Oreochromis niloticus: one gene and its partner. The protein of the gene in region 1 purifies or fractionates together with the protein of each later gene. This does not show direct contact. Links are inferred from orthologs where the notes say so. Each region holds a gene or a part of one and is shown on either strand. Other genes may lie near its edges.

Region 1 (6,105 bases):
TTTTATGCTTTTTGCTGCCCTCAGCAGTATCGTTTCATCATAAATTGCCTGGATGTATTTCAGGATATGAGAACTTTTCTTCCAATCATTAAGTAAACAGAAGTGCTACAGCTTTCAGATTTACCCAAAGAGCATTTTTTTTTCTTAATTTTCAGGAATAAAAATCATCTTTCTATTTTATTTGTCAATTTTTCTCTATTTACCTTCTGATCAAACCACTGGGTGCCATTTTCTGCTTCATGAATACACCACATGAGCAAATACTTGAAATATAATGTAATGTTTCTTTCTTTTGTTTTTTTTTAAATGTCCTCCATCTCCAAGAAGAAACGTCAAATTCCTGCTCCGTGTTTCTTTTGGGGTGTATTTCAGTACGCAGGCCTCAATTAAAAGATTAGGAATATGCTTTGCCGCTGAGCCAGTTTCTTATCTGCAATATGTTGTAAGAGAAATATGTGGTATTACACAGTCAGTCTATGATGAGTGTGAGCATTAGACAAGCAAACGCCCCTTTCTGTCTGTCTGAGCCTTCACCTGCCTCAAAGGGACAAAAAAAGGAGATTTACAAGTGAAATTGTTTAAACAAAGTATAAATCTGTTTAATTCAATAAAATATCAAGTACAATTAAAGCATTTCACCTTTCAATATTAAATAATTAGACTTATTTCATTCATTGCCAATACTATTACAAAGAGTTGCATCATTTCACTGCAGCACAACTCTTCCCTTGACAACCACTGCTCCAGATACACACAAAAAATGTAGAAATTCACTCGCATGTATGTAAAACCTGCACAGAAATACTGCATACACACACACAAAAAGAAAAAAAAAAAATCACATCTGAGAATAAAGCTAAGGTGACATGTGAAGAGTCGTGAATGATTGCGCAATACATGCACCCACTCCTTCAGTCCCATTCAAAGTGTCCTTGTAAACTGGTGGTCGCCGTCTTCACCTGTGAAGCGTACCGTTTTCAGCACAGTGGATTCCCTTTCGGCTCTAAAGTCCACCGATGATCAGACAACAGCACGGAGATCCGTGCAGAGTCTCCGGTGTGTGAATGTGTGTGTGTGTGTTTTAACACTGTCCGGTGGCAGAGAGCAGGTTGCGCAGGGTGGCCAGCTCTCTGGACAGCTGCTCCACTCGCTTTTGTAAACGATCGTTCTCTGCGGCCAGTTCCAGCACTTTGTGTTGAGTCTCCAAGTTGCGCATTTTGGCTTTGTCCCTGCTCTTCCTCACGGCGAGGTTGTTCCTCTCCCGCCTCAGCCTGTACTCTTCACTGTCCTTGTCCAGGCGTTTCTTTGACTTCCCGCTGGACATTTTGCCACTGTGCGATGGTGATCTGCTTTTACCTGACGGGGCAGGTGTGCCGGGCGGGCTGGAACAAGTCGAGGACGCAGTGGAGATGTTTCCGAGACTACCACTAGTGGACTGGTAATGAATGTAGGACCTCATGTCAAAAGCAGACGAGCCGTTCTCCATCTTTGCGTCTTCCTGACTGTCTTCTCTGTCGGCGGCAACAGCAGCAGCAGCAGCTCTGTAGCGGCTCCCGAGTTCAGGGCTCAGCACGCTATCCACGCGGGTTTCCTGCAGCTCCGGGTAACCTAGCGCGTAGGGCTCCCTGGGGTCCCTCAGGTTGTCGCACTGGCTCGTCTCCAGCTCGTTCAGTAGCGAGTAGTTCTTGTAGTTCTGCAAAGCTGCAACTCTTCTCTTGTTCTCTGCCAAGAAATCTGAGAAAACGTCCCCCTGCTGCTGCTGCGTCTGCGCCGCCAGCTGCGGGTAGTGCAAAGCTGAGTCCAGGTAAACACTGAAGTCTATCGCTCTCTCCCGCTCTTCAATGCCCAGCTCCGTCATCGAGTCACCGAGCCTCCAATATGAGCCGCCGCCGATGGGGCTGATAACGCTGTCTCTACTGTGGATAGCAAAGCTGCCCTCCTCGTAGAAGCCGGCCACTTCCATGGATCTTAACACCCGCCGGATTGCAGAAGCATGGAGGGCTGAGGTGAGACGCCCTGAGTGGTTTGGGTTGAGCTGTGAAATGCGTCTGAATGTGGTGAGTCTATAGCTCCCGTGACAACATGCAGTAAACTACTTTGAAGAACTTGTGCTCATGGAGTGAGAGGAATTGACAGGTTCTTCCTGTCTCGGGGGGTTTTATTTTTTCTAGCAAGGGGCGGAGTTCAGGTATGTGACGTGCAAGGCAAGTGGACAACCTGTGCTGTTTTTCGAGGATCTTTGGCACACTGAACTGCGTTTGAACACAATAAAAAGTGAACTTAAGCACTTAAGCGGTTTTTTCTCTCTTTCTCCCCCTTCCCTGTTTGTTTGGTGGTATTGTGGCACTTGGCTACAGCAGGAGTGTCAAGATAGGAAATGCAATCATTTGTATGATTTTAAAACAAACGAAACTTAACTTAAAAAGCAAAATAAAAGTGAAAATATAAACGCACAACGGTGAGTACCTAACCAAGAGCGCAATAACGAAACAAAACCATACGTTAGGAATTCTTTGAGTGTTTTGACATCGGGTCCCTTCACGCCCTCTACAGTCAGATCTCATCAACTCGACAATAATGGAAAAATTCCACTCGGCATGTTTACCATTTTCTAACTTCGTGCGTAATCGTCTCATAACAACGATACTCATAAGCGCAGCCCCTGACAGCTGTTTCCTTTGAGCTGACTAGATTAAACCAGTATGCTGTTCTGTGGTAGACCCCTACAAGATGATACATCTCTTCCAGCACTGTATCAGGGTCAAGGTGGGTGTAATGAGAAATTTAGTGAGTTTGGTTTATGACAGTCCAGTGGGTCCACGGCTGAACCCAGGCTCACTGTGCAAATATGTCACTTCTCCCAGAACATACAATCTAGAATAAAGCCCAACATCCCAGTGTTACCAGTCACACGTGGCCTCTGAATTGGATTTACAGTCAGCACTCTCTGTTTTCTTAGACATGCAATTCCGATAAGGAAAGAATTCCCAAAAAAGGTCCTATGATGGAGAACCGGAGATGGTGGTGGTGGTGGTGGTGTGTGTGTTGGGGTGGTGGGGGGATCGACTTGTAAGAAACCCGAGATGCTGTGTGAACAGTACACAAAAGCAGCAAAGTTAAGAGACATAGTTATGGATTAAGTCTTACTGCCACCTTCTGGTGACAAGAGTCATTATAACTGACTCAAAACCGAGGTTTTGAGTTCCTGGCCAACATCCAATCTGATCTCAAGTAGGCCGGAGCTGTTAAATCACTGAATAATAACGTATACACATTTTCTCTCTGAGTATAAACACACTGTGAAAATTTTTTTACATTCAAAAGAACTATCCACTTGTTTCAAGTTTACTAAAATAAGATTTATGTAAAAGGACAGACTTTTACACACACCCATAGCTGAGTGGTTACTAATTTGTGAAACACTTTGGCTGCCTCTTTTTAAAAACCTATCTATCACCGTTTCCCCACATTATTAGGTACACTTCTTCTACAGCTAGGACAAATATTTAATCCGCCAATCACATGGCGGAAACTGGGCGCATTTACCGTAAAAATCTCATTTATGTCTCTTTTTCAGATTAAAGGGAACCTGTTATACTAATTCCAAGCTTTGTATTTTCATGTTTGGACTGCTACTAGAGAAGTCTCCCTTCGCCCACTGTCTGAAACAAGCTGTTTAGCTTCCTTCTCGCTCGACTTAATCCAACTTTCTTCTGATTGGCTGTTCCTGGTAAATATTTGAATATCAGGGGTGAGGTTGAGAAGACCATATAAGGATTTCCCCTGGTACCGACGTCATCAAGACTAAGAAGAACTGTCTGAAGTATGAGCTTTTGGCTCCCAGTGACTGTTTGTGCATACACTGACATATTTGTAGCAGAATACACACTTACTGACCACTTTATTAGGTACACCTGTTCAACCGCTCGTTAACGCACACATCTAATCAGTCAGTGTATTTATGCATGTAGACATGGTCGAGATGACCTATTGAAGTTCAAACTGAGCATCAGAATGTGGAAGAAAGGTGTTTTAAAATGACTTTAAATGTGGCTGGTCTGAATATTTCAGAAACTACTGATCTACTGGGATTTCCCACACAAACATCTCTAGGTTTGAATTTTTCCTCTTTGGGGATCAGAGGGATTACCTGTCACATGTTATTTTAAATCTTATAATGTGTCACATTATTTTTTAAATAACCAATGAACCGTTAAGACACCTTACCTGAGCATATACTGGCAACCTCATACGCAGCTGAAGCATCACAGGTGACAGATGTAACTGTAACACCTGTTCCTGTTTTCAGCAGTGACGTGGCACTTGCTCAAGATTTGGGGTCAACAGAGGAATACCTGAAGGATTTAGCAGCTTAACACTTTTGTTGATTATGTTTGCCGAGATGCTGTCTATGATTACACATAGTTGCAGTGAAGGCTTAAGTGTGATGAAAAAACAGATTACAAAAGGTCAGATTTCTCAGAGTGCCTAACATCCAAGATAAAAAACAAACACACATAGATCTACAGTGCATGATATGATAATAGAATATCAACATGATCATCAAAACTGAGAACACTGTCCAAAATGGTAAAATTCCTGTTTTTCACACTGTATTTCAGAGAAAGGGATGACAAATATGATCACATTTTTCTGTCTCTGTGTTGTTTCTGTTCTAAAAGGTTTGGAGGCATCCAGCAGTTAATGTCATCAGTGCAGGTAAGATCATCAGAGGAAAATGCTGAGTACAAATGTACATCATCTGTGTAGGAATGGCAGGATATATTATGATTCTTTATGATAGTAACAAGCAGAACCATGTAAAGGTTAAGGAGTAAGGGACCGAGGACAGACCCTTGAGAAACCCCAGTTGAATTTATCTTATTCTGTGGATCTAAAACCACTAACTGATACATAAAAAGTTCTATAGGTGTGAAGTTTTTATGTCCTGTTAAAACCAACTGAGTCATGAAGGTTTTGGTTTAAAATTTCACGATGTGTCAAAAAAGTGAGATGACACAACCCTCTTTCTGAAAAATGAACTCATTAACTCCCTTTTACCTTCCATGTGATCAACCACTTCCCCAAAGCCTCAGGTCTCTAGCTGAATATAAATAAATGTGAGATACTGGCTCTGCATGAGTCCCCCCTGCAGTCAAGATGTAATACACATTTAAAAGGAAATGAAATGTTATGGATTTATACGGATGAGATAGGAACAGAAAATAGGAATATTTGTGTTGGTATAAGAAATATAAACCAGTTCAAAATATTCATTTTAAACTGATTGCTGCAAAGGGACATAGCAAAACAACAAAAGCAGCTTTCAGCTACTCTGTTGCCACATAGCACCATGTGTTTGATTTGGCATAGGTTTTTAATGCTTATTTATTTATTTATTTATTACAACAGATGTGCTTATGGACACACACTCCAAAATGGATGGCTGTTTCTGGCTTTAATTGAGCCAGCCAAATTTTCTTGCTAAGCAAACGTGTTAACCGCTACACCATTGGAGGCATAAATGTAACATTAGTAAGTGATATGGTTAAAAATTATAAAGATGTTGGGGCTAATGCCATTGTTTTTTATATTACGAATAGTACTTCAAACTGAGATGGTTTAGAGCCTTGATTCTGAACAGACACTACTTTTGATCATTATTCCCAGTGTGATTTTTGGAAAAAGGGGTCAAACAGATTTCTATCAGCAGGTCATTCTCTACTGGAAATGAATCTATAGCCATATTTTTTGTCCACACAACACACCTGCGTGGAACACCAGATGCATTAGACTTGGTACGATATCTGTGTACGGATGTAGCTCATTTTATGGATTGGAAAGGTAATCTATTACAGCCTGAGGTGTACCGAGAAAAGTTCAAGTTAGGATGCACTGCTAAGAGCTATAAAACATTGACAAGAGCCATCTAGGTCCCTCTGAGATCAATGATTAAAGAAGACATTGTGTACTCTAGGACTTCTCCCAGACTGACAATAATTGACTTTTGTCATAGTAGGTGTACAAACAAAGTTATCAGAAATATTTTATTAGACGAAATGTATCATAACCCAGTAAGAAGGAATTATATTCTGAGGAAGTTCA
Region 2 (7,655 bases), on another chromosome or scaffold:
ACCAAGTATACACTGAAATATAACTTAAATTATGTGTATTGGCTTTTACACACCATTTGCATCAACTGATGCAAATGTTTTTTTTTTTTGTTTTTAACTCCATAAACCAACATCCTAAAATACAAGACCATTAAGATTTTTGCTTATCTTCAAAATGCACAACTGAGATAGTTCAAATTATATTTCTAAGACCAATGACTTCAAAAGGAGGGTTTAAGTTAATGATCAATGTCAGACCCATCTGCTCATATTAAGTTACATAAGTTAACTTACCAGCCTTGCTCACTCTTAAACTTGTAGACAGATCCCAGAATGTGACAGAGAGCACCTCCTGCCTTGAAATCCAGGAAACACTTGGCCTGAAGATATGAGAGGAACCATAAGAACAGAACATTTTACCATTTGGGATTAAACTGTGATGGTGATTTTCGTAGAATGTAATGTTTGTATGCTTACAGGTAGCTTTGTAAGAGCAGGATTGTTGACTCTTCGCCCAAATGCGTCTTCCTGGAAATGCAGCAGCTGGACCACGAGACCTGCCAGGGATTTACTGGAGGGGGAGTCATTCTGGACGTACTGGAAGTAGGCACAGAAAAAAGTTATCAGTAACATGATAGCAATGGCACAGATTCCCATCTCATCTAGCAGTCTTTTTTTTTTTTTTTTTTTTAAGCAAATCAAGGTGGCCAAAAGACAGAAAAATACAACCTACAAGGGTTTAGATTTTTTTTTTTTTAAATGAATTAATTCCAAAGAAATGCTCAAAAGTCTGAGAATGGGCTTCTTCATTTGATAATAAGATAACTCTTTATTGTCATTGCACAGTCATACATAGTACAATGAAATTGGAAAACTGTCCCACAACGACATTGCATACAACACAACACGACACAAGTTATGTTACTGTGATGTGTTAAGTAATAAAAGAAAATAATAAAAAGAAGTCTGTTACCATGATATGAGCAGCCACGAGAGTTGTTTACTAGAGCTCCAATTCTGTTTTGTTTTGCTATACTATTATTAAGCAGTGGGGTATAGATAAGTTAGTCCTGTAAAGAGGCTCATGCACATCTCAGATGGCTTAAGTCATGACGGAGAGCATCATTAGCATGGTTATCAGCAGCTGGGAACATCATCACAAAGATAAGAGCAAGCCTCTCTCCAGAGCATGTCCAATCGTGAATTCATGAACCAAATCATATAAAAACTATTGAGTAATGTTAAAAAACATTTGATTATTTTGAAATTCAAACGTTTCTTGGATCATTATTTTAATTTGCTGGGGGACAAAACAACAGGGTGATATTCACAGGTGGGCAGACTTGAGCAGATGAGGTACTACAGCCTAGAACAGGAGGTTTGGCTACAGGAAGCAGAGATAAGAGTTACTGAAATAATTAGGCAGATTAGTCGACTATCAAAATAATTGTTAGTTGCAGCTCTAGAGAGTCAACAGACTAATGATTTTTGTTTAAACTTGTTATATCTTTTGCCTTGCATGGGAACAGGTTTCTGCTTAGACTGCCGTCCCTGAAATCCAAGTCCTGTTTCCAGCAGGACAAGAGGGATAGTTGGATGGTATTTATTTCCTGATCTTTTTGCTCCAGAGAATCAATCTTGACCAAAAAAATTTAAAAATCAAGTCATGACTTTATCCTTTAAGGTTTAGCCAGTGCAAAATCAATGTAATCCAAGAGACAATGTTAGTGAATCCCATTTATATACTATTGCATCACCAAATAATGACACAAGGTTTCAATGGCTTATTTTAGATTTAGTCTATGCAAAATTAATGCAACACAACAACTAAACACTGACCAGAAAGATCACAGTCAACAGCAACAAAGTACATTTAAAGCTGGAAGACCTTCCACTGCTATATGGCCTCAAATAACTCACATAAATATCTTTGCAAAAACAACAACAACAACAACAAAAAACAACAAAAGGATGTATTTATTATTCTTAAAGGCAAATTTATTGAACAGTGCATATGCTTAAAAAAAGCCAAGTTTATATATTAAATATTGTAATATACATCTGCGTGTAAACGCTGTACTCACAAGCCCTTATCTATGCCATTTCATTTGAATAATGTTTCTGCTATAACTTGAGCGGGCACAACGTGTCAGTGGTTTTGAATGAGAGCCTGATGTGACAAGAGGAGCATTCTTTGTTTGGCTAATTCAGTAGGCAAGTGCAACCTGCACGGTGTGCTATGCTGCTGTGTTGACAAAACTAAACACACTGACAGCATGGAACAGGACTGGGCCTGCAAACAGCACGCAGTGAAGTAGATAATTATCTTCTAAGTAAAGTACCTTTTAAGATGGCATAAAAAGGAGGCTGGGGTTTATTTAGCTAATATTATAAGTTCTGCATGGTATGTCCCGTGACTTACATACAGGTTAGCATCTCGGGCCTTTTGAAAAACTAATAAGAAAGTTTGGTTTATTATTATTTCTTTTTAATGAGAAAGTTATTACATACGGGTTAAAAAATTATACGCGGCTATGTGTCGCTCGTTTGTAAACATTTCCCCCCTGAGCGTCATATTAGTAGCAACATTGAATGGGCAGTTAGCGAGCTAACTATAGCTATTTGATAAACAAGAACTGATAACTCTATCGGTCTAGGACAATGGGCAGTATACTGACGGTGAACTCCCAAACAAAATTATATAGAAGCACTCTTAAAACTTAACTCTACTTAGCTCTGGGTGGCTGCAGCTAACTAAAACATGAGCGCCCCTTTGTGCTAGCGAGACGCGGGCCTTCATAGAAATCAATGGAGGAGCGGGCAGCTAGCTTACCTTCTTGTAGTGCTTTCCGATCCAGAGTCGCACAGTCTCCAGCTGGGATATCGTGTCTGAACTTTCCCAAAATTTCGCAGACGGACCACCATCTTTCTTTCGTCCCACTGCGGTTAAACCACCGACGGGGCCAGTGGTCGGTCCGCCCGAGCCCGTTCCGCCTGCCGTTGTCGCCGCCGTCGCCATTGTGTGTTTTGTTCGCTGCGTTGTCTTTCTCCTCCACGGCGTCCCTCAGCGTGCAAGTTTTCGAATGACATTGCGCAGCCGCAAACGTGTTGAGCATTTTGAAGTCTCGCGAGCCTGAATATCAGATGGTCCATGGGATATGTAGGCACCTGAGAAGGTTATTCCTGTTTTTTTTTAGGTAGTTTGTGTTAAAAGTAAGACGGCGTATTGGGGCCATGGTATGTAAAATAAAAAAAAGGGGGGACCGGGTTGATATAATAACTTAATAATAGCCATTATAAGTTATTTGGCGGAGTACAAAATATCAATTTCCAAAATTCAAGTCAAAAATTTCAAAAAACGTAAATTAAAATAGTACATTTTTAAAGAAAAATCTTGTACTCTTTATGGTTATAAATTCACAAAACTAAGAGGAAAAAAAACTGTTTAAAAAAATCTAAGATTAAAGTCTAAAATTTATTCATTCATTTGATTATCATCATTATTATTATATTACTCTTGTCCGTTGTTCTCATGTGGTTTGATACTTTTTCCTGCAACATATAGATTTGAATCTTCGTATGAACTTTTATAATCCAGTGAATGTGTTTTTGCCAGCAAGATCCAAGTAGCCACATTATAGTAACAAAACAGAAAGTTGTATGTAAACTAATTCACATAATTTTTTTGGTGTTGCTTACAGATTTTTTTCCCTGCTTTAACTACTCAAACATAATATGAGACTTATATGAGAGTTCAGTCTTACTTTTTTGGAGGGGGGGTTATATGTACTAAATTAGCACTCTTACTTTTCAAAGCTATTGTCTATACTGGTGCAGTATAAATGAACTATTTTCATGTAATTTGACAGACAAACTTGACTGTTTGCGAGCAGCAGTCAGGATGGCGCCATCTTGTGGTGACACTTTTTTTGCCTACCAGCTTTGGTCAGATTTAACCTCTTGCACAAACAAGAGAGATTACTTTTTGTCAGGTAATACAAGACTCTTTTCAGCTTAGTTTGTGCCTGTGTCTGTACAGAGCCAGGAGGTGGAGCAAGTTTACATGACTACACCGTGATGTAAATAAAACCTCAATAACATGTAGATTTCAGCAACTATCTATCTATGTCTGTTCAAGAATAAGAGAATAAAGCTGTCTTCACATAGGTTTACTTCTTGTAAATAAAGTACATTAACATATCATCTAAAAGTTAAGAAAGTGTTTCCAAAAAGTGGTGAAATGGTTATTTTATTTTTTATTGATTTACTTTATTTGTTTTTGGTTGAACAGTAAAATTGCACTACATTCTACATTTCTCTCTTTCTGTTAGTCTAATTAAATCCACTAATTTAAAAAAAAAAGTAGTTTGTTAAAACCCATCACAAGTTTAATCAAGCACAAGAGATAAAAAATGTGGCATGTGCCCAGTAAAAGGGGTGTACTGTTTAAATCCAAGCTGAGCTGATAACGGCACTTTATGATACCAGTACTAGGAATTTCAAACCCCAGCTGATAAATATCTGGTAGATTAGTGAGCAAAATCCTTTATATTCAACAGAAAAAGCTGTACACGAAGCACAGGGAGTGGAACAGGAGCTCTTTTTTTGCTTCAAGAATATTAGCACGGCCCTATAAATGAGAATAAATTACAATAGTGCAATAGTGTGGCATATTCAGCATAAATTTTCATATTTTGCTTATATTTGTTGAAAACTGAATATACCAGAAGCGAGTCAGTTTATTACTAAGGTTGGGGTCAGATTGACTTTACGATTTAACCCACTTGAGATAGGCTTGAGTATATGAAACCCATTTTACTTTTTCTAAAGTCTTTGTGAAATGTTTTGTTCTTGTTTTTATTAATCTTGCCACTTTTTCTATTTTTACATCATTTTTCCTTTTTACGTTTTAGTACGCATGGTACCATAAACCTTAGAGATACATTTACCAATGCATTTTTCCAAAACATCAGGAACTGCCAATACCCTATCTTGTTTGGTAGCTGAAATGAGCCTTATCTCTATAAGGAAAAGGACAAAGTCCTCGGTGGCTTATTGAAAAACAAAGCTCATGTGCCCTGGTTGGATGTGAATATAAGTAACAATCCTTAACAGCAGCTCCTCATCTGCGTCTGATTATAAGGTATGTAGTTTTCATTTAAAGACGTATAATATCCTCTAAGGGGGTTAAGAGGGTCACTCTTTGTTTTTACTTTAAATAAATGCGTTTTATTTTTGTTTAAGTTTAGTTTAGGCTTTAAAAAATATGTAAGTTTCTATTTTCTCAGTGTGAACAGTAGGAACAATGAAACACATTTCAGCACTGGTTTTGCTCCTTCTCCTGGGGATGTCCTCAGCACGCACCTATCGTAAGTATGATCTGGATGTATATGGACTCTTTTTTTGTAAGGAAAAGTAGTTATGTGTAAAAAAAAAGAAGTGTAATAATAAGAGGCAACGTGTTTATCACCAGGTAGAGATAGAGAGTGAAGTAACAGAAACTTAACAAAGTATAATATGCTTAGTTATTTGCAGTCACTGCAGTTTCTAGAGTTTAGAGCTGAATGTTTCATGTAAGTAAGAAAAAACATTTTTCCTTTACCACAAGTATGCAAATTATTAAATGAGACATTTAAGCAACATCATTGTCTTACGTGAGATGTGGATGTCAAAAAAAACCTTCCAAAAAACACATTAAGGAGTCAGTTTTTCAGTTTCTACAGTAAGAACATTCTTTCGAACCATTCTTTTGGCTCACCAAATTCAGCATCTTATGTAATCATTTTGAATCATAGGTAGTCTTTGCTGACTAAGCAAACTAACCAGTTGTGTTTGCTGATAATTGTGCAGCTCTACCAAATATGCCTATCCAAATATGTTCATATACTACAGTCACTGTATTACTGTAAACAGAGTTATCAAGCTAACTACATGAGGAAGTGACTAAATGAGGTACATTTGAATGGCTGCTCATTTTCAGCTGCTTGCTTGAATGCATGTCCTTCCATGATATCTTTCATTTGCATTCTGCTATTTCCAGAAAATGTGGCCCTGCGTGGCAAAGCAACCCAGTCAACCCGTATCAATGAGGTATTGTCGGCTGCCTACGCTGCAATTGATGGAAACCGTGATTCTGACCTTCGCCATGGATCATGTTCGCACACCAATCAACAGACCGACCCCTGGTGGAGAGTGGACTTGCTCGAGCCCTACATTGTCACTTCCCTCACCATCACCAACAGAGGAGACTGCTGTCATGAAAGGCTCAATGGGCTGGAGATCCACATAGGCAACTCTTTGAATAATGATGGCTTAATAAACCCAAAGTTAGTAAATATAGAGCAATAAGGAATTAGCAACAATGTTGTGATTTGGCATTTTACTCATTTTTACCTTTGCAGTGTTTGTTTCTTTCTGTTTTTCCTGAACGGCAACAGGAGAGGTTGCTGTAGGACTGACATTGTTAGCTGCCCATATTCTTTTTATTGGCACTCCCTATAATAGATTCCTATATTAAATCATCCTATTATATATTAAAATAGAGAATATCAGGTTACAGTTTTTGTAAATTTTGTCAGCAAATTCCACTAATTGAAAATGATCACGCTGACTATCAAATGTTCTGATATTTGCTGCCATGGTAACTTGTATTTTCTCACACACTTTTTGTTAGGGTTGGAAAAATTTCAGAAGTTGGTGCAGGCAAATCCTACACTGTGAATTTCGCTGGTCGTGTGGAGGGGCGTTATGTAACTTTGAGTCTTCCTGGTTCACAAAGGATCCTCGCACTCTGTGAAGTGGAAGTCTACGGATATCACGCTCCAACTGGTGAGAATGTGAACTACTACATGAGCTGCACGGTATGCAGCTCTATCGCCAAACTCTGGTATCCAAACTTTCAAGCTGATATTAAAGCAGTTTAATAATAGATATTTATTATCATTACTGTTCATCACTGTAACCATGATGACAAAGAGTTTGCTTCATGAATTTTTTTAATTTAAATTAAAACAAAAAAAAGAAATACTATTGTATTGTATAAACGAGATTAACGCTGACAGCACTATTTCCTATTGATTTCTATGAACTAACTTCAGTAAGGCCTTCAGTGACACTATCAATACATCTGTTAGCCCACATTCCTATAAAGAACTCTTTATCATTAATCAATACTTTGATTTTAAATATGATCAGTTCATCTTTTTTTAAGAAGCTAAAGGCTTTTAAGGTGGAAGTATTTAAATCATTAATTCAGAAGCCTTTACTTGATCCAACTTTCTTGTCCAGCCTAAAAAGAAAAAATAGGATTCATAATTCAAAAGCATAGAAACAGGACTAGCAAAGGTTACTAATGATCTCTTTATTGTCTCTGGGAGCGGACTCATCTCTGTACTCGTATGTTGTTGGACGTTACTGCATTTGGTAACTCTGATCAAAACATTTTACAAAAGTAACTTCTCATTTCTAGAATACAACACTGACATGAAGAGAAATGTGTTGAAAATTATAGTTATCTGACAAATCCTAATCTGGTCACGTAAACAACAAGTTTTTCGCTCACAGAAAAATTATTCCATTAGGGAATATTATCAGAAGTCAGAGCATATATTTTCACTACTGTCCAGTTATTGGAGAAGTGGCGTGGCTCTAGCAATAAAGTGAACGCTGCAATCTTT

What was found.
Region 2: the proteins of cebpb (region 1) and smarcc1a purify together in Homo sapiens (affinity purification with western blotting; 3 studies listed by BioGRID, with this or other methods). This does not show direct contact. The link is inferred for Oreochromis niloticus from reciprocal best matches to the Homo sapiens genes CEBPB and SMARCC1.

Annotation. Positions count from the first base shown.
Region 1 is NC_031984.2:10,008,724-10,014,828, reverse strand, and holds cebpb (CCAAT/enhancer-binding protein beta), read right to left. Parts: upstream 2,145-6,105; 5' UTR 1,964-2,144; coding exon 1,082-1,963; 3' UTR 575-1,081; downstream 1-574. UniProt on the Homo sapiens protein: Important transcription factor regulating the expression of genes involved in immune and inflammatory responses. Also plays a significant role in adipogenesis, as well as in the gluconeogenic pathway, liver regeneration, and hematopoiesis.
Region 2 is NC_031976.2:31,814,551-31,822,205, forward strand, and holds the start of smarcc1a (SWI/SNF complex subunit SMARCC1), read right to left. Parts: upstream 3,077-7,655; 5' UTR 2,999-3,076; coding exon 2,813-2,998; intron 577-2,812; coding exon 457-576; intron 360-456; coding exon 274-359; intron 1-273. Other genes in the region: fucolectin-1, read left to right, coding at 5,285-5,348, 6,020-6,305, 6,653-6,807. UniProt on the Homo sapiens protein: Involved in transcriptional activation and repression of select genes by chromatin remodeling (alteration of DNA-nucleosome topology).